Nothobranchius furzeri: one gene and its partners. The protein of the gene in region 3 binds, or shares a complex with, the protein of the main gene of each other region. Links are inferred from orthologs where the notes say so. Each region holds a gene or a part of one and is shown on either strand. Other genes may lie near its edges. The genes, in order: timm21, timm17b, timm23a, timm50 and timm17a.

The links.
Region 1: timm23a (region 3) and timm21 share a complex: the UniProt entries of both Homo sapiens proteins name them as parts of the TIM23 complex. The link is inferred for Nothobranchius furzeri from reciprocal best matches to the Homo sapiens genes TIMM23 and TIMM21.
Region 2: timm23a (region 3) and timm17b share a complex: the UniProt entries of both Homo sapiens proteins name them as parts of the TIM23 complex. The link is inferred for Nothobranchius furzeri from reciprocal best matches to the Homo sapiens genes TIMM23 and TIMM17B.
Region 4: timm23a (region 3) and timm50 share a complex: the UniProt entries of both Homo sapiens proteins name them as parts of the TIM23 complex. The link is inferred for Nothobranchius furzeri from reciprocal best matches to the Homo sapiens genes TIMM23 and TIMM50.
Region 5: timm23a (region 3) and timm17a share a complex: the UniProt entries of both Homo sapiens proteins name them as parts of the TIM23 complex. The link is inferred for Nothobranchius furzeri from reciprocal best matches to the Homo sapiens genes TIMM23 and TIMM17A.

What each region holds. Positions count from the first base shown.
Region 1 is NC_091747.1:54,073,317-54,076,452, forward strand, and holds timm21 (mitochondrial import inner membrane translocase subunit Tim21), read left to right. Parts: upstream 1-1,136; 5' UTR 1,137-1,325; coding exon 1,326-1,617; intron 1,618-1,739; coding exon 1,740-1,802; intron 1,803-1,908; coding exon 1,909-2,006; intron 2,007-2,090; coding exon 2,091-2,164; intron 2,165-2,242; coding exon 2,243-2,348; intron 2,349-2,473; coding exon 2,474-2,566; 3' UTR 2,567-2,629; downstream 2,630-3,136. UniProt on the Homo sapiens protein: Participates in the translocation of transit peptide-containing proteins across the mitochondrial inner membrane.
Region 2 is NC_091755.1:41,960,059-41,964,246, forward strand, and holds the start of timm17b (mitochondrial import inner membrane translocase subunit Tim17-B), read right to left. Parts: upstream 2,813-4,188; 5' UTR 2,755-2,812; coding exon 2,729-2,754; intron 2,304-2,728; exon of another isoform or gene 2,195-2,303; intron 1,740-2,194; coding exon 1,640-1,739; intron 1,570-1,639; coding exon 1,506-1,569; intron 1,409-1,505; coding exon 1,280-1,408; intron 1,207-1,279; coding exon 1,096-1,206; intron 911-1,095; coding exon 849-910; 3' UTR 1-848. Other genes in the region: pqbp1 (polyglutamine-binding protein 1), read left to right, coding at 3,477-3,543, 3,637-3,748, 3,935-4,035, 4,134-4,188. UniProt on the Homo sapiens protein: Essential component of the TIM23 complex, a complex that mediates the translocation of transit peptide-containing proteins across the mitochondrial inner membrane.
Region 3 is NC_091756.1:45,105,835-45,109,871, forward strand, and holds the start of timm23a (mitochondrial import inner membrane translocase subunit Tim23), read right to left. Parts: upstream 2,801-4,037; 5' UTR 2,248-2,800; coding exon 2,139-2,247; intron 2,067-2,138; coding exon 2,008-2,066; intron 1,925-2,007; coding exon 1,831-1,924; intron 1,488-1,830; coding exon 1,403-1,487; intron 1,319-1,402; coding exon 1,260-1,318; intron 1,121-1,259; coding exon 1,010-1,120; intron 1-1,009. UniProt on the Homo sapiens protein: Essential component of the TIM23 complex, a complex that mediates the translocation of transit peptide-containing proteins across the mitochondrial inner membrane.
Region 4 is NC_091753.1:57,198,088-57,202,357, forward strand, and holds the start of timm50 (mitochondrial import inner membrane translocase subunit TIM50), read right to left. Parts: upstream 2,801-4,270; 5' UTR 2,783-2,800; coding exon of another isoform or gene 2,765-2,782; coding exon 2,561-2,764; intron 1,337-2,560; coding exon 1,180-1,336; intron 1-1,179. Other genes in the region: clip3 (CAP-Gly domain-containing linker protein 3), read left to right, coding at 2,745-2,782. UniProt on the Homo sapiens protein: Essential component of the TIM23 complex, a complex that mediates the translocation of transit peptide-containing proteins across the mitochondrial inner membrane. Has some phosphatase activity in vitro; however such activity may not be relevant in vivo.
Region 5 is NC_091743.1:60,935,302-60,939,420, reverse strand, and holds the start of timm17a (mitochondrial import inner membrane translocase subunit Tim17-A), read left to right. Parts: upstream 1-1,309; 5' UTR 1,310-1,383; coding exon 1,384-1,409; intron 1,410-3,135; coding exon 3,136-3,235; intron 3,236-4,119. UniProt on the Homo sapiens protein: Essential component of the TIM23 complex, a complex that mediates the translocation of transit peptide-containing proteins across the mitochondrial inner membrane.

The DNA of each region.
Region 1 (3,136 bases), on a different chromosome or scaffold from region 3:
GGTTTGAATTTCCTCTTTCTCCATCTCCGTTTTGCTCCCGCTCTGCACCCACGCTTCTTGCGTTTTAGCTCATTTGGGATTTGTGGCTTCAGTTGAGGTATTATTTCAGCCTTTCCAATGTTAATCAGCTGCTATCGATTGTAAACCAGCTTGTTGCCATGGTTATGCATCATAACAAATGCTCAAAAAGTGAAAAAAGCTAAAAGAAATAGCAGTAAAAATCCTCCAAGCTTCACAGCACCAGAAACAGAAAAGTAAAGTGTCCAAAAAATACAGTTTTTCTTGAGAAACTATAAGAAAAAATGCCCAAGAAAAGACAAAACTTACATATAGTCAACAGAGCTACTCCAACATGCAGCCACCCAGAGCAGCGCAGTTCCGGAAAAGCCGCCGTTTGAAGCTCAGCTCTGATGTGGCTCACTTCTAGTTCCTGAAAATGGTGCGCCGGTGTTTTCTTTCCCCAGAGTATGACACACGAGATGTTTATTCCTACTAGAGACTACTGCAAATGTATTGATTAAATGAGGAAAGGGAAGAGGAGAATGGGGAACTGCACTTGTAAAGTTACAATAATTAGTACACTTCCTGTAAATTCTTCTCAGAAGTACCAGGATGTGAACGTTTCCTGCATCATGTAGATCGAACTCAGTCCTTCAGTCTATGGCTTTTAAGATTAAGGATATTTCCGTCCTCTGGAAGACAAAAACTGTTACTACAGTCAATGTTAATAAAGCTAAACAAGACCATACTCATTATTACTTCCTGTATGTTCTTTCAAAATAAAACATAGCATAGTTTAGTCCAGATAATGAGAAAGCCAGAACATCTTCTCTTATTCAAACTACTTAACTACTAAAACTCAATAAATATATCTAATGTATCTGTGTTTAACCAGATGGAATCAATGAGCTAAAGCAGGAAATATTAGCAGCTAGCTGAACATTTCAGATCTCTGCTCCATCTAACTTCTACTTACTGAAACAGAAGAGCAAATGTTTTACTTTTTTCTTCACAGAAAACGACTCACAAGGATTTACACAAGAGCCACCATAACAAATGGGGGGAAATGTTCCTGGTATTGCAAGCTTGTTGTTTCGTTTTTGTCCGGTAGGTGGAGGTAGTCCAAGCTGATTTGTTTACTCCTAATAAAGACAACAAAGAAGAAGCTACGCCATATTGGTGCGACCTAAACCAGCTTTGTTTGTGTGACATTAGCCGATTAATGTTCTATAATTAAACGTCACGGTGACATAATTATACACTATAGTAGGCCAGCCGCTGTAGTTTGTACTGCCGTTCACCTCAATGTGGGTTTATTGACAATAATGGCGTATCTTCACCCTTTAAAAGCCTTGTTACACCGAAGTCTGCAACACACAGCGGCAGCGCAAACATGTCAGTTGCGACTGTTAGCTCACGCGCGCAGGACTTTGTCCACAACACCAGGACTGGTCCTTCTCGGGACAGATAGTCCTCTGTCTGCGCTGAGTTGTCTCCGTGTGGCTGTGAGACCGCTCCACTGTTCAGCCAGAAACAGGAGCAGGCCAGAGGACGAGAACAAAGCGGCGGTGTCCAGGTATCAGCGCGCAAGCCCCAAAGCTTCAGCTTCCCAGAAGAGTAAGCTAATGCTAACGCTATGTTGCTATGCAGCACGGTACAAAATGCTGTAGGTTAGGGTTAGTTTATGCCAATTACTGCATGCTGTTGTTTACTAAAGTCTCATTGTGGGTGTCTTCCAGTAAAAGAAGCTGGTAAAGACTTCACCTACCTGATAGTTGTGATCATCGGACTGGGAGTGACAGGTGAGAGTAGCCAGACTGCAGAAACAAACGTGTGATTAGCAGCATATTTAATTTGATCTTACCCGCTGCTGTCAAAATAAATAAAAATGTGTGCGTTTGTGTTTAGGTGGACTGCTGTATGTGGTTTTCCAGGAGCTGTTTTCGTCCAAAAGCCCAAATAAAGTCTACGCAAAAGCTTTTGATAAAGTCAGGTCACACCCAGAGGTGAGAATGACAAATGATTTACTCTTTTGGCTCTTTTCAGTATAAAGTTACATGCACGGTGCTGTTTTTGATTTGAAAGTGCAGGTAATCGGGGCATTTGGCGAGCCAATCAAGTGCTACGGTGAGACCACCCGCAGAGGAAGGAGGCAGCATCTCAGGTACAAACTAAACTAGGCATAAAACTGTGTTTATTTGGGATTATGCTGTTTTTTAATCTGTTTTTGTTTTCGCCTCAGTCATCTGGAGTATCTGAAGGATGGACTGAAGCACTTGAGACTGAAGTTTTACATTGAAGGCTCCGAGCCAGGCCTGAAAGGAACTGTTCATTCAGAGTCGAAGGAGGTGTGTAGGTTTCTGATCTGCTCACACAATATCCATTTTATAATAGCTGGTATCAAATACTAAGAGCTGAGAGGAAAACTGCATCCATTGTCTTTTGATTTGTTGTCTTTGGTTTCTTACTTCAGAACCCAGAAACGGGGAAATATGAATTTCGTTATATATTCGTGGATCTAGATACCTACCCCAAACGGAGCATCATCATAGAGGACAACAGATGAGAACCCCTGCTGTTCACAATCTGCATTATTTAAATAAACAAGGCACTGGTCACTGGATTACAATCTTGTCCTTTTTAATTTGAAACTAATGTGTTAAATGACTCAACAAAGTCCAGTTTGTGTCCCTGCTTTAGACCTTTTGACCCCTCTTTATTGCTGATCTGTCCTAAAGTGTCCTTCAGGGGGGCTTTCTTTTTAAATAAACGCGGACTCTTCTGCTTGACTAAATTAAAAATTTTGGGCATTTCTTTTTGCAACATTTATCTACTTTCAAAAAATAGATCCATCCATCCATTTTCATCCGCTTATCCGGAGTCGGGTCGCGGGGGCAGTAGCCTAAGGCGAGAGGCCCAGACTTCCCTCTCCCCAACCACTTTGGCCAGCTCCTCCGGGGGAATCCCAAGGCGTTCCCTGGCCAGGTGAGAGACATAGTCACTCCACCGTGTCCTGGGTCTACCTTTAGGTCTCCTCCCGGTTGTACGTGCCCGGAAAACCTCACCAGGGAGGCGTCCAGGAGGCATCCTGACCAGATACCCGAGCCACCTCAACTGGCTCCTCTCGATGTGGAGG
Region 2 (4,188 bases), on a different chromosome or scaffold from region 3:
ACTGGTCTTTTACTAGGTTTCACAAACAAACTGCAGCTTTAAAAGGCTGCAGAGATGTTCAGGAGGACCAGCGTGTGGGAACTCGAGTAAGAGCTGAGCTTCCTGCAAACCTCTTCCAGGAAAGACCTAGTCTTCTAGCGAGATCCTCAAACGTGATGCAAGCGCGGCTGTGAATGAGCGTGCATCTGGGCTCTCACTGGGCTATCTGTGACTGCTGGGGGCGCCTTTTCAAATCAAGAGGGAATTTCCAAGGATTCTCATTGTCCTTGTCTCGTGTTGCTGCCATTCTGAACAGGTCCTAACAAGCGTTTGTCCCAAAATAATAACAGACGTCTTGCTGCTGATGTCTGGAACCTTCGTCCATTCAGCAGTATGAGACCATTTTACAAAGGGTCCATTAATAAATCTGGAGTCAAATCAAAGAACATTAAGACAACAAGAAAATTAGCATCACTGCGGTAAATAAGCTCCACACGACCCTGTCCACATTCACGCTCCGCCTGTGTGGCTGCCAGCAGTCTCGGGCCAGCGACATCAGCTCATCCAGACAGTGGAGACAGGAGGGTTTTACGCTGAGAGCTCGTGTTTCCACGCGGACTCCAGAAGAGACCAAACATGTTCTCCCCATGTTTTAAACATACGTGTTTAAATCATTATGAATAATGAAAGCATTTATGTGAAACTCAAACTAGATATTTAAGCATAAAGACGACAGCGACAACTCTCGCACGTAAACATTTAAACACTGACCCTGAGGTTCTACAGCCAAGTCCTAAGGGCATTGCTGCTCTGGTCTACAGCTGGACTCAACCCTCTACTGGAACAGCCCTTTTGGGCCCTGCTGCTGGCTATGGGGGGGGCCCTCCGTCCTTCGGAGGAAGCTGACTGGGGTCCTCTGCAAAGGGAACGGCTGGAGACAACAAGCAGAAAGAAGTGAACTTGTCAGGCTTTTCTTGGACGTGCTGCAAGTATCCTACTGGTTATCGGTTTCAAACGACAGATGGCTTAACTAAAACCCAAAAGTGGTTTAAAGATGTCTGCAGGTGTTCAGTTTGAGCACCTGGTGTATATTACAGAGACGGGAAAGGCACTCACGGTTCTGAAACTGCTGGGCTGTGTATCTGGTTAGGAGAATGCCAAAACCTTCTATGAGAGCGAGTAAAACCCCGCCCATCATGGCCGAGCCCATCATGGTCAACGGCCCACCTGAGGCAAACCAAAACATTTGGTGAGTTACTGAGTTCCTGTCTAGTGTTTGGTTGTTGAGTGTTATCCTCACTGCGTGCTGCTAGAATGGCTCCAGTCAGCGCACCACTTGTTATAGAGTTCCACGGGTCTTCTTTCCCTCTCAGGCGAACCAAGCCACAGTCAATCGTAGAGAAGAGACCTCCCCATACGGCAAAGCTACCTGGTAGAAGAAGCACGTCAGTGCTGAAGCTCAGTTTAGAGAAAGGGACCAAAATCCTTCAGTGGTGTGTGAGGAGCAGAGCAGCAACGGGTCAAACCTCCAATCTGTGGGGCCCTCACTCTCACTGCCTTTGCACTTCCTCTTAGTCTGTGTCCAACACCCTGAAATGTTACAGACAGGTTTATAAAGGCTTCCAAGAAGTCAAGTCAAACTAGTCTGTTTTAAACTCACAGCAGGGGCATTTCGGAAGCCCTTGATGGCCTGGAACACCCCTCCACCGATGACACCCATGGAGAAAGCTCCTCCACAGTCGTCCACAATCCTCCAGGGGCTGCAGGAGGTTAGGGGAGGACACACAAGACACCGTCAAAATACAAGATATACAGTCAGATCAGGATACAGACGTCAACGGAACTGCGCTGCTCTGGGTGGCTGCATGTTGGAGTAGCTCTGTTGACTATATGTAAGTTTTGCCTTTTCTTGGGCATTTTTTCTTCTAGTTTCTCAAGAGAAACGGTATTTTTTTGGACACTACTTTTCTGTTTCTGGTGCTGTGAAGCTTGGAGGATTTTTACTGCTATTTTTTAGCTTTTTACACTTTTTGAGCATTTGTTATGATGCGTAACCATGGCAACAAGCTGGTTTACAATCGGGAGCAGCTGATTAACATTGGAAAGGCTGAAATAATACCTCAACTGAAGCCACAAATCCCAAATGAGCTAAAACGCAAGAAGCGTGGGTGCAGAGCGGGAGCAAAACGGAGACAGAGAAAGAGGAAATTCAAACCGTCTCTTCCATCGATCATAACGGGCAATGTGAGATCACTGGCCAACAAGATGGAGGAACTCCAAGCCCTTTCAAGGACTCAGCCAGAGTTTCGGCAGTTTCGGAACCGCTGGAGGAGAAAATGCAAAGGAGGATTCTCCAGAGAATCAAGAAAATTATGGACAACCCTGAGCGTTCTCTTCACAAGACTGTCCGACAACGGAAGAGTGTCTTCAGTCAGAGGCTTCTTCAGTTTGGCTGCAACACTGACCGCTACTGGAGATCCTTCCTGCCAACAGCCATTGTAATATACAACAACTCTTTGATGACTTGTTTATTATTATTATTCTGAGCTACTACAGCAATCAATTTCCTCTGGGATTAATAAAGTATTTTTGAATTGCATTGAACGTAAGCACGTATATATACGTGGATTGACAGCAGAACTCACAACGCGTCTCTGTTCTCTCACATGTTTATGTTTCACTAGAAAAACCAACACTGGTATGTATGTTAGCCGTATTTAGTTTACAGTTAAAGACAAACTAATCTTACCAAGGTTCGCGGACATATTCCTCCATGTTTGTTTTCGTCTAGACGTTGTGACGTCATACACGTGCGACCGGCGCTACTAGTGCGTTGGCGGTGCTAACATCATTTTCTCTGCTATTGGGTGAATTTCTTTATCTCAGGTAAACTTGTTCCTGTTCGGATCCCGTTTTGAAGCGTAAACGTTCAGATTTTCGTTCCTTCCGGGCATGGAAGTACTTACGCAGTCTGCTTGTTGATTTAATCATCCAGCGGTTGCTAACAGGGTTAGCCTTCGGGTAAACGTTTGTTGTTCGTGCAAATAAATGCAGATTTTACGAATGTCAGACTGTTTCTACATCTGTAGTTAAAGTCTTTAAAAATAACACAACTCAAATGTTGAACATAACTTCAACTGAAAACGTAAGAACAGCATTTATTCAAATTGTATTGAAAGCCCGACGCCTTTTACTGCGTGTGCTGTTGGGAGCTTTATGTTCTCCATATTTCATTACAATGTTTTATCTGAAAGGTTTCTGTTCAGATGTTTATTTGTTATAAATTAACTCGTTTTTGTACGTAATTTGGCAGTAAAGAGACGTTTTGTTTATTGGGATAAACCCCGTTGTGTATAATTGAGGCTGTATACTTTAAATATCAGAACACATGAGAAACAAGTAAATTTTCTGTATCTTTGCTGTGGATTTATGAAACCACTGACCTCATGTACAGATGTTCGAGGTGACTGTTGTGACAGCATCTCGTGTTTTTCAGGATGCCTCTTCCTCCAGCTCTGCTGGCCCGCTTGGCCAAGAGGGGGATCGTTAAACCAACAGAACGAGGTTCTCATTTGGCTTGAACACGCTGGCTCCATGCATCCTTCTCTGTGACTTTACACGTATGTCGTGTAACAGTATTTTCTCCTTTAATAACAGGTGCAGATGAGGAGATTATTGCCGAAGATTATGATGACAATAATGTAGATTATGAAGCCACCAGAGCAGAGAATCTTCCTCCAAACTGGTACAAAGTGTTTGATCCAGCTTGGTACGTACACTGTACTGGTTATCTACGGTTCTTTGGTAGTTTTACCTCCAGTGCGCTTGTGTTTGGGTGTTTGCAGTCCAGATGAAGCTTTCCAGTGAATTCACAAAGCGATGTCATTGGGTCTCTTTTACATGTTTAGTATGTAAGCTGATTAGCCTTCTCTTCCTGATTTCCTGCCACCCTCAGTGGTCTTCCTTACTACTGGAATGTTGAGACGGATCTAGTCGCCTGGCTGTCCCCAAATGACCCCTCGTCTGTGATAACAAAAGCTGCCAAGAAAATGAAAGGTGGGTTTAAAAACTAAACTCGCCAGTTTTGCATAAGTGTCTTTAAAAAAGAAACGAGGAATGTTTTTCACAGAAATTGCATTATTATTTGTTTTTAGCTGATTTGGGAGATGAAAGAGGAGAGCGACCGTTTGAGAAGCCAGACAGAGAGAG
Region 3 (4,037 bases):
GTAACTCATCATAATTGTATTCAATAACCCCTATGGTTTCCTAAAATAATCTCAGCATTAGCATAATTATTGTTCTTAACTCTGCATGTTCTAACACAACAACAGAGCTTTGGTATTGAAAGGTAAAAAAAAAAAAAAAGAGAGATGCTGGGAAACTAGGATTTTCAACCACCTGTAAGAGAAAATGTATAAATGTAACTGTGTAAACAAGAAAAACACCAAAGTGTAATTTTCTATTAATATAAAAGTTATAATGTTCTAATTTCAACAATCTGATGGATAAAATGTTCCACATTTCTACAGAGGAAGTCTGATTCAATCCAATCAACAAGTGGTCAGAAAAAAATTAGGTCTAAAGCCTGATTCATGCTTCTCCGTCAGCTCCACAAGGAACACACACGCACGGATTGACGGAAGAGTTTTGCTCTCATACTTCTACGTCTCCTGGAGTGTTGCAGATCAATTGCCCAGCAGGACAGCAGAGGGCGTAGCGCTGTTCAGTGGTACCCTGTCATGTATCGGTCCAAGATAGTGTGTTTATATTGTGGGGTTTTTTTGTATATAAGAGACTTTTTAACACGGACATATTTGTCTCTCATTCTCCTCCACCTCCAGATGCGTTCGCCATCTCTAAACCCACGTTTCCTGTCATTTCCGTCCACAAATAAAACGCTTGCTGAGCATCTTTTCACTCCTCCAGTCACGGGGAATTAAACGTTCATGTTTTTAGAGTTTTATCGCGAGGTATTCTTCAAGCTGCTCCGTGTCTGCCGCTAGTTATCCTCGGCTCACATGTTTTTGAAGGCGCAATGGCGGCGGTGTAGACGACAGCGGCGTCCTGACCAATCACAAGCCTGCGTTGTCTGTCTCGACTGACGGATGTTTAGAGAAGAGAGCTCGACTCCGTCCGTCCTTGCGGAGCTCACGTTGCGTGTCTCCGCACTGACGCAGACGGAGAAGCATGAATCAGGCTTTAGGTTGACAAAACACAAACACAAAAGACACATACCACTAGATTTAAAGAGCATCCCTGTTAATGTGCCAGCAGCCACTGTGTTGATGTCATCTTCTGCTCCTCTGGTCTTCTCAATCACCACACCAAATGCACTGTACAACAAGGCTGCAATGATACAACAAACACAACGTTTAAAAGGTGAACTCGTGTCCAATTCACACAACTGTTAACCTCAAACTACAGACAAACATTTAGTTATAAAAATGGTCAAATGTGTTGTTATGAGTAAGTTTCCACTGATTACCAACAGAGCCAAGAGAGTTGGCCCACGAAGCCCCCTGCTTGGTCACCATGTTAAGAATCCTGGTGGAGAAAAAGTAACGTTATAGAAAAGCGATGCAAAATGCAGGTAAAATTACCTGGTGATTATTTTTTCTGTTTACTTACTGTACGTTACGAGGTTTGGACCATGCCATGTCTCTGGTCTCTTTCAGGCCCATCCTCAGACCGTTTACAGCTCCAAGTGCAGCTCCTGCAGGGCAATAATTCAATCAATCAATCAATTAATCAATCAAAGCTTTATTTATAAAGCGCCTTCCGCAACCCTGTCAGGAAGCCCAAGACGCTGAACATGAATTCAAGTCAAGCCACGAATATGATGTGATAACCCAACATCACAGTAGGACAACATTAGATGATCTGTTTTTGTTGGAGCTACTTTACATGAAAGCAGCAGATTTTGCAGTGACTTTAGTTTTTGTATAAACTGAACACGATGAACACATAAATATTATCTCCGCTGTGAATAACACTAATCTCAGGTTGTAAAATGAATATTTTAATGAAGTAGGGTTAAAATCTTAAAATATACTTACCAGTCATGCATGATCCACCAATGGTGAAGAAAGCCAATTCAAATCTTCCTCTCGTTTTGTTGGCCCCTGTGGGTAAAATGAACTCATCTGTGTCCTAAAACAAACATTTAGATTAGTGAGACCAGTCAAATTTAAATAAGCATGAAATATGAACAAAATTTAACTATAGAAGCTTACCTGAACCAGGTATCGAGGGTCTACGTTGAGGTAAGGAGAGAGGGGACTCATTCCTGTCACTAAAACAAAAGAAAGAAGTTACGGGGATGCTAACACTAGCTAGCATTGTATCGGTATTACATGCTACTTACATGGGACACCGGCGAGCTCTGTGTTGGAATATTCAGATGCACCACCACCACCAAAAAGATTCCCGAGGCCCGCTTTCAAGCCCCCTGAACCCTGTGAGTTGTTGTCCATGACCGTAATTGTTCCAAAGAGCTCAATTATACCTTAGAAAGTAGCTGCTAACCGAGCTAAACTTAGCAGCCTTCGCAGTTATGTGGCAATCTTCAAACCCAGGACGAACTATTTCACGAGGATCAGCGAAATAAACCGAAATCAATATTCTGATAAAGCTAATTTTCTAAAGCGTAATTACACCGTCTTATTGCTAAAAAATGCAGTGAGCTATTTTATACATCACGACCCTGACCTCCAGCAACACGCTCTGCCGTAAAGCGAGCTCTGTCGTGGACTGTCATTACGTCAACGCACTCACTTTAACCTTCAACAAATCTCCAAAATCAAACTCGCATTCACAAAAAATACAAAAATTAAAATAAAAACTTTAAATGTGTATATATTTTTATTATAATAAATCTTATTGTTTATATCCAGGAAAACCAAACGTTTGCACCCAAAGTTTTACGACACTTCAGAAAAAAGCAGAAACTTAAAAGAAGTTTAAAAAAAATATTAAGTACACTTGAGTGTACATAAACTCATAATTCCAGGGGTTTAAAATCGTTCTAGCGCACACAATTAAAGAAGTATATTAAAGTATTTTAACGACATGCTTGATGTGCTTTATAAATTTATTTGCTTTATAAATAAATGTAATTCAGATAATTTTGGCTTAGGAGCGGAAAGTTTGGATTTCCGAATTTAGAAATTGGACTACTATTTTTATTATATTTGTCATACTTTGTCCCAGCAAGTGTTGTAGCCTACACATAGATGGACCATGCTCTTCCCATGCATACGTTTTGTTCACTGAATTGTCTACTTCTTCTTTTTAGAGCTTGATAGACAACAATTCTATTTCAGTCCCAGAGACTTGAGGAGGCAGAAGATGGATTCTGTTTCACGTAACAGCTCATGGAGTCAGAGCAATCCTGGGGAAAGTGTGGGGAACTTTATAGCTGAGTAAAACTTCAACAAAAATAAGCCGATGCCCTTCTAGCTTATGATGGGAATGTTATTTAGACTTTAGAAATATTTGATTTGTCTTTTATAAAGATTATAGCTGTTACTCCTCATAAAACATTATGTGGTCTAATGTGTTTTATGGACCAAGCTGTAGCATTTGAAAACATGATGCTGTTGGAGCAAATTTGATTAATTTTGTGATTGCAATTAAAATAAGGTAAAGGCAATAAAAATACACAATGTAGAATAAAAACCCATCAAAAAGTTGGTGTCTTTAAATTATTCCCTATTTAACAAAAATTGTAACTCACTGTGATAAAATGAGTAAAATCCAGTTCACCTTCTTAGCAATCATTGATCATCAACACTGCCCTTTTGAGTTTGGTTCTTCCGTACAATCCATCAGGGTTGCACACACTAGGGTCCACATCCAGAGATTTTTCCTGGACATTTCTTCGGCCGCTGACAGCAAAAGTCTTGCTTTAATGACAACTATAGGAACTGTAAGTTCAATCTTTTTAGCTGCTCTGCTTGTTTGAATTTGTCTTTTATGAGAAACAGATAAGATCCTGATTTAGAGCGCATTGCTTGCAAAATGTGATTTGGGCTGTAAGATTAATGAAACAGTATGGAATATTTAGATTTCACAACAAAACAAATGTGGACATAAACAAAATCCCACAAACCAAAAATGAGCAAAAGTGACAGCAGAAGTCTTACAATAATGTGACGGATAAAGTCGTGTAAAAAATATTTTAAAAAATTTATTCTAAAAGTGATTCTAAAATTCACTCACGCTGTGTGCTCATTATATAGCATTTACTTTTAAATTCTGGCTT
Region 4 (4,270 bases), on a different chromosome or scaffold from region 3:
TTTATGCTCACGATCGCCCCCTCAGGCCAAAAGCGTTAACGGCAGCTTCAATAGTAGGCTCGTGCACGAGGCGCGCATGCTGTACGTGCACACTCCTTAACGAAAATAACAGCTGAGACAGTCCCGTGTGTGTGTGTGTGTGTGTGGCCCGGAGGACAGGGGAACACGCTAGGGCTGGGCAATCATATGATCGCACTTTGTGATCACGATCATTTTCAGTTCAATTACGGTGATCAGCTGGGAGTCTCGATCAGAAATAACAGATGTGTGCAGCCTCAGTAGGGGGCGCTAACACTCCATGCGCGTTGGTTGCCCACTGCCATTTAACAAAAAGAAGAAGCATTTGCAATTACACTTTTCCTGCTCCGCTACTTCGAGGAAGAGGTTTAATAAGCAGAATGGCCAAACGTGGAGCTGAAAACAGCGAAGTAGATCCCAGTCATGACTCGGAGTTGTCTTCTGGAGATGATGACATTGTTCAGAAGAAAAGTTACTCAACGTCAGTAGTGTGGCGGTGGTTCGGGTATCTCAAAAGTGACGTTGAGCCTGAACCCGCCGATGTGGGAGGAGTCTCTCTCTCCCCACTCAACTGCGCCCCCGCTGTGTGTGGAAAACTAAAATGGAAGATAACCTGCAACTCAGTCAGCTGTGGAATTGGGCTCGGCTCTGGACAGTATACCCCACCCCCTCCCCCGCGCTGCCTGTTGCCGCCACCATAACACACGGGGAAACCCCGGATGTTACATCAGTCAAAAACGCAAAAACCGCAGCTTTGACGGTCACGTGATCGTTAGGGATGCAACGATACCACTTTTTTCCAAACTGATACCGATACTTGGATCTGAGTACTCGCCGATACCGATACAGATACTTCTACCACACAAAAAAATTAAATGAATTGGAATACAGGTTTTATTTTCTTCTGTTTTCAATAGGAAAAGACTGTAAGGTAGATAAAAAGTAATATAAGTGATTACAAAACTAAAATATTAGGTGAACAGAAATGACAAGTTAAAGTGAAGTCAAGTCAAGTCAAGCAACTGCATTGGTATCATTTACTGGTATCGGTTAACTTTTACCGATACCGATACCAGTATTGTATCGGTGCATCCCTAGTGATCGTGCTGTTTGAAATCACGATTTCGGTCCAAAAACGAAAAATCGTTCAGCCCTACTCACCAAAGATGTAGACAACGCTGACCGCTCCGCCAAGGCCTAGGAGTCCCGCCAACCGCAGCACCATTTTTTTTGCATAGGCCATGTTCTCCTTCTGTTTCTTGTCATCTGTTTGCTCTCCTTCCTTCTTGCTCTGACCTTCTTCTGTAGGTGGCTGGCCCTGGAAAAACAAACAATAACAATAGATATTTCATTTGAAGTCAAAGCAGATCACCATGACACGTGGGGTCCCCCCAAGGATCAATTCTCGGACCACTGCTCTTCAATCTCTACATGCTCCCCCTGGGCCAGGTCATACAATAACAACATTACCTATCATAGTTATGCAGATGACACCCAGATCTACCTAGCTCTATCACATAGTGACTGTGGTCCTCTCCACTCACACCGCCAGTGTTTGGAGCAGGTTAATGACTGGATGCAGTCAAACTTCCTCCAGTTAAAGACACGACTGAAGTTCTTGTCTTTGGAAATCTGAAGGATAGGATGGAGGTTATTGATCGACTTGTCTCCGGAGGAATAAAGACCCAGGTTAGAATCTTGGTGACATAATTAGGGATGCGTGATATATCGGCATCGATGTCGGTATCGGCCGATGCCATGTCGTGTTGGTTTTAATGTTCTTGCTATTCTTGCTAATGGAAAAGCATATTGAACTGCCTCTGTGTGTGAAATGTGCTATAAAAATAAAGCTGCCTTGCCTTGAAGTCTGATTACAAGTCAAAGCTGTGATGCTGCACTGAGACACGTTAGCTGGACCTCTTGTTACCTCCAAAAATGATATTAAGCACCAAACAAAAAGATTTAATTCAACAAATGTTGTCCTTAATCTGGTGGGTCAACCAGGATTAGCGCCTTTGACCAGGTGAAATCACAGATTTGCAGATGATACAAAAATAAAAGCCTGAACAGGTGAGTATTTTTACAATACAGCCAGAAAATAAATAAAACTTCTGACAGAGCCACCGTTTATGAGGGCAATGGGATCTCAAACACTGATGGATGGGTACTCTAACATCCCGGAGATGTTTGGCATGAGTTAGAGGAGAGAAGAAGGTCCTGTTCTGTCCTTCTAGCCTAAAGCACCTTGACTGTTATTTTTCTAACAGAATGAAGCTTGGCTGAAGTCAGTATGAGAGAGGACGCAGCATTTTACCTGCAGACCCCACGATTACGGTCACGCACAGCTACAGCAACACATAAAACCAACGAGCAATAATATAAACCCTCCCGTGGAGAAACCTGCACAGGTAACGCTTAGCCGTCCGTGGCTAGATGTAGCTTCGGTTTGATATAATGGGGATTCTCGGAAGGGCGGAGTCATGACTTAAACGTACAAACTGCACTGCCTTCGCCGCTGGACAGAAAACCGAGCGCACCTCACCTGGCTCTGGTGCTGCTGGAGTCGCTCCTGGAGGATAGCCTGAGCTAGTCCGCTCGTCGCGCCGCGCGGTCCGCCAGACGGCTCGTCTGTGGAGAGTGTCCGGATGATATCCATCGCTGCCAGCCTGGAAGCACCTACCGCTCCGTTGCTGAGCCTCAGGAGGCCGTGACTCGCTCGGACACACATGGGGAACACAGCCGACATCTTGGATTGTAGCAGCCGGTGAGCGTGTGACGCAAGACTGAAAGACAAAGATCTGCGATTGGTTTGGCTCGCGTTGACGGACCAGTACACTGTCCAATCAGAAACGGAGTTGTCCACGTGGTTAAAAGAAGGGCGGTGCTTAGTAAATTTAGACCAATCAGAAGTGAAAATGAGTCTGACCTTCGGATGCGACACAAAACCACCATGACGGTTGGTGGCAAATTCGCCCTAGTCAAATGGGACTTTGTAGGTAGTTTGTGAGGTAGCGAGCCGCCATCTTGGATGGGTCATTATTTGCCCCCGTGCAACTATATCTACGGAGAAACTATAAACCTACTAAAACAAACCTTTTATTATGCTTTTTCATTAAGTCAGACGCATGGTATGGCATGATAAATAAAATGTAAATATAAACAAAATGAATGAAAATATAAAATCCCAAAAGGAAGGCTAGAAAAGTCTATATTAATCCCACGTGGTCTGTTTTCAACAGTGCGCCAGGTGTTGCAACCACTCTGTGTTTATGGTTGCAACCGTAGGCTGCACCAAAAACAGGCATAGTTCCCCACTCTTAGTTTGGAAAGTGCGGAACCCATCCAATATGGCGGCAATGCTGTTACTCTCTCCAGCGCCCAGTGGTGCAGTTTACGTATTCGTATGGGTGTGGGCGTCACCAGTAGACAAGCGGAATGGTTCTTTTACAAGGATTCAGTTCTCATCTTTTAATCTGAAAAGCCGAACGAAAGATTCAGTTTGTTAGTGAATGTCACATCTGTGTTAAAGGATCACTTTGCAGCTTTGGCCTGATTTTAACATGGAAACGTGAGATTACAGGAGGCCTGAATCTGACTGAGACTGGTAACCCTAAGGAAACCACCATCACAATCAGGTGATTGTGGTGGGTTCTCCACAGTTGGACTGAATACAGAAAAACAATCAGAACAAAGACTAAAGCTCCTAAGCTTGTAGATCCTCCTTCAGGAACTCAGGAATCATCTTCTGTTTGACACCATCATGGTTCTGGAGGAGTTCTGCTCCATTCTTCTTAAAGGTTGCTGACATTCAGCTCTTTGAAGGTCCTAAGTCTGGTTCGGGTCTGGACACTGACTGGACCTCTCCAACATCTTGATTCTGTTGTAGATCTGCTTCCATGTTCTGGATCATGATTATCTTTTATGACCCAGTTTGAGATGATCTCCAGCTGTCAGACAGATGGTTTCACATTAGAATCTAAGAGGCTTTGGTATCCAGAAGAGTTCATGGTGGATTTAATGAGTCCTGTTGGGTCGGAACCAGTCCAAACCATCAGCCCTCCACCACCGTGCTGACTGCTGGGATCAGCTGTTTGTGCTGTCATGCATTATGGGTAAACATCTATTTAATGGGACATCGTTCCAGAAACATTCTTGTTCATCCAGATAACAACCTAAGTTGAGCTGTCACAACTTTTAACAGAAAGAACTCAGGAGGTAGAGCAGGCTGTAATCTGAAGGTTGCAGATTAGAT
Region 5 (4,119 bases), on a different chromosome or scaffold from region 3:
CCTTTCCCCCTTTCTAATAATGGGCTGCATGCCAGCTGTCTGTCTCTTGGCTGTAGCTGCTCCTCTGACCAGCAGCGTCAGTCTCTGATGGAGAAAAACAGGAGAGGGAATGAAAACATTCCGTTAAATGCTTTAACACTAACACACGGGCTTGCAGAAAAATTATGTCAACGTTTAAAAGCAGAAAAGAACTTTAATAGTACCAACTTGCGGTTTATAAGAAGTTTGTATTACAGTTTTTTTAAATGCCTGGAACATTCATTTAACCATTTTTTATGAAACAAAGAACAAAGTGGATTTTTTTCCACAGCTTTACCCTGTCAAATCAGGAAAACTTGAAGGTATTAAAGCTGCTTTAAGAAACTTGGAAAACAAATTAGCTTAAAACATTTTTTCATCCCTTTTTACAATCTTCTAACATAGTATGGCTATAAAATATTATGTAGTAAAAAGGGTGGCTTTTCTGAGGAAAATAGCATATAAAACATTTTTTCAGTTATTTAATCTTTTTTAGTTAAGTACATAACTCCACATGTGTTCATTTGTAGTTTTGATGCCTTCAGTGAGAGTCTACCAACGTACAGTAAATGGTCATGAAAAATAAAGAAAACATATTGAATGAGAAGTTGTATCCAATCTTTTAGCCTGTACTTTACACACACACATATGTGTGTGTGTGTGTGTGTGTGTGTGTATATATATATATATATATATATATATATATATATATATATATATATATATATATATATAGAGAGAGAGAGAGAGAGAGAGAGAGAGAGAGAGGGGGTCATATGAAAATTGTTACATCTATAAAACAACATTGGAGAAAACAGAGCATGAACATGGAGCATGAATGTGACACTGTCAGAAATCTTTCCGTGAATCTTTGTTCCGTTTGGTATAATCCTAAAAGAGAAAAACTGCATTGTTTTTATAAACAATCTTATCTTTACAAAGTATTATTAGTATATAGACCTACATACATGTACATATGCCTAGTCTCACCCAATGGCGTTTAAAAATTATCTTCCGTTTTACAAAAATGTTTGAAACTAATTCTCTTGCAATTAGGCTTTACACATTCATAGGACAACTTAATTTTTATCGATTTCCTTCTATTTAGTATTTGTTTTTCTACTGGTTTGGTATTCCATGTTTGTTTCATTTGTACTTTGTACCTCTTTTTATTTTCGCCCTTATGTGTTTTAATATATATGTCACTACAAGGTTTTGCTTCTCTTTTAATTTAGTGTCTTGAAGGAGCGTGATTAAAGTCCTGTGTTGAAAATTTGTCATTGTTCATTTTTTTTCAATAAAGTTTTTCTTTTTTAAGGAAGAAGTGACGTTACGTTACGTCAGTGGTAACAGCTAAAGAACAAAATGGAGGAATATGCCAGAGAGCCGTGGTAAGTTTCAAAATAACGATAAATGTTACAGTTTACGTTGTTTTAATAAAATTAGCCAATTTTATCTAATTTAAAATGAGCATTGCATTTAGTTTTCATCTTTATATTTATTGTTAAAGCTTGTGGCACATCCCGATACACCTGGAAAAAAAAATACCGGCTGGCCAATTTAGCTCAAATGCTAATTTCTCCTTGAGTTTAATGGGCTTTTGTGCTAGCATCAGAACGGAAAGGCTAAATCACGTTGTTGGTGACCTTGCCGTTTTTCTCGTCCACATGTCATCAAAGTAAATTCAGGAACTGAAGTTACGCTTTGTGAATTATAAGTGTCACAGTTTATATTAATCACTAACAGCATTTATAAAAGTTATCGTCTTCAGATATTGTTAGGCTATTAGACATTGTTGATGTAGCTGTTAGCTCAGTTAGCCACCAGTGTGCTAACCATCCGGATATTACACAACTTGTAATTTAAGACAAAATCGTATGATCAGACATATACATATCAAACGTTCTGAGATACTCCTATTGAGTTATATTAAATATGCCTAACACTGGAACACCTTAGTTGTCTAGCTGGGTCATCTTTATAAAAACAGGTTTAACAAGAGATCATTTAAAATTTGACAAATGCTGTTTTATAGCAAGACATTTTGAGGGTTAAATTAGGTTAATGTTTGAAATCCAAGACAGGGAAAAATGCCTTTTAATCATTTCCAGTGAGAAGAAGTTGGCTTTATATGTCAGCTGTTAGTTTGCTGCTATTGAGTGTTTTAAAACTGTTTATGATGCTGCTTTGTTAATCCACTCATACAATGATCTCTCTCAATAACTGGGATCTTAGTATTGTAACACATGTAATTTGTTCATTTTTGTTCAGACAAAAATGTCAAAAAACATACTTTGACAGGTATGGCAGATTTGTAGAGTTTTTGTAAAGCTGAACATTTCTAAGTGTAGTAAATGAAGTGTAAGAAATGAGCTCAAAATTTCATCAGTCTTCAAATTGTGTGATGAGAGTTGCGTCATTCTTCAGGTGTTATTCTAAACCAAGTCCAGGTTCAAAGACTTGACTGAAAAAATAGTCTGACTGAATCAGACATGAAATTTTTTCAGAAAACTTTATTTTAGAAAAACTGCATGAAATTGGTTCTTGGATGTTAAATATAAATGAGTTGAAGAAAAACTTAGGGGGTTATCGCTCAATTTCTGTCATCTGTTTTCATAAGAGTGGTTACCAGAATTATTCAAACATCACATAAACAGAACAGTTTAAAAGACATAGTTATCAGTGTCTGTGTACTCTGTCACCAGACCTTTTGCTGTGTTTAATAATTCACATTTTGTTCCTCTTTGGTATAAATCAAACTCTTTTAAGCATTTCTATTTGTTGCACCTATCTCTATTTACAGTTCTGGCTGCAGGGCTAGGGATCGCTCATCTCAGTAAACTCTTCCCTAATTACATCTCTTTTTTCCCCCCCATAAAATTGACACAAAAAAGTTTTTTTCTTGAGGCTTCATAGTTTGTTTTAATCTCAATAGTTCTGTGTGTCCCGTATAGTAAATGCTACAGTTCCAATTAAGACTGTGTGTTTATTTGAACTTCAGCTTGGAAGCACACACTTCAAACATCATCCATGACTGTGTTGCATTTTAACACTAAAATAAAGTTTTCTTGAGACTTTTTTTAGATCAGAATTTTGAATTCTGTTTTTTACTTGTAGCCCCTGGAGGATTGTGGATGACTGTGGTGGAGCTTTCACCATGGGAGCTATTGGTGGAGGAATTTTTCAGGCTGTGAAAGGCTTCAGAAATGCACCTTCAGTAAGTTAACCAACAGTGTTTTACAGGGTTCCCTTTTACACACTCACATGAAGACTAGCCTTGACATTTAATGGCTTGGTCAAGGATGCTGGATGGGTCCAAATCCAGGGATAGTATCCTAGTAAGGACCTGGATTACCCGGTCTGTTGGGTTGGGCATCGATTGGAACCGGGACTAACCGTCAGTTTTTTCCAGAATCGTTCAGATTTAAGGCTGCTGACCGGAAGAAGAATCTGTTGTCGATCTCCGTGAAAAAAGCATGATATGCAAATTCTGATCAATGCCTTTCAGAGCCGATCATACCAGCTATCTGTCGGTCCTACTCGCAGCCCGCAGAGACCCTGAGAGCAGCATTGCGTCCCCCCTCCTTAGCCTCACACTGCGCAGGTGCGCAGCGGCTAAAATGTAAACAAACTTGTCTGCAGAACTTTTACTCTGTGATGTAAACTTTAATTCCTGCAGTGAAAAATGCATCGTGGAGGAAGCTCGTAAAAATGTGTTAACATAGTGGATTTAATGAAAATTTTGAAGAACAAACTCCAGGCAGTGTGAGGTGAGTTTGGCTTCCTGCAGAAATAAAAACACGGAGCATCAACAGTCAACTGCAGCCACTCACCAACACTCATCTGTGTGAGCGTGACCGTCGGAAGACTGAGCAAATTACCTAGAGCTAGATCAGCCGTTCTCTGTGGCGGATGACTGACACCGATTTCTAGCCACTAGTCTGTCCTTGATATTTGGGGAAAACAAGGACACATTTTGAGTTTCCTTCATATTTGGAAGGCCTTGTCACTTTTCTGTGGCATAATCAACCTTAAAATGTGGCCTTGAAAGGATGCAGCCTCTGGATTTATGCACAGCCCCATAAATGCAACTAGAGGGCT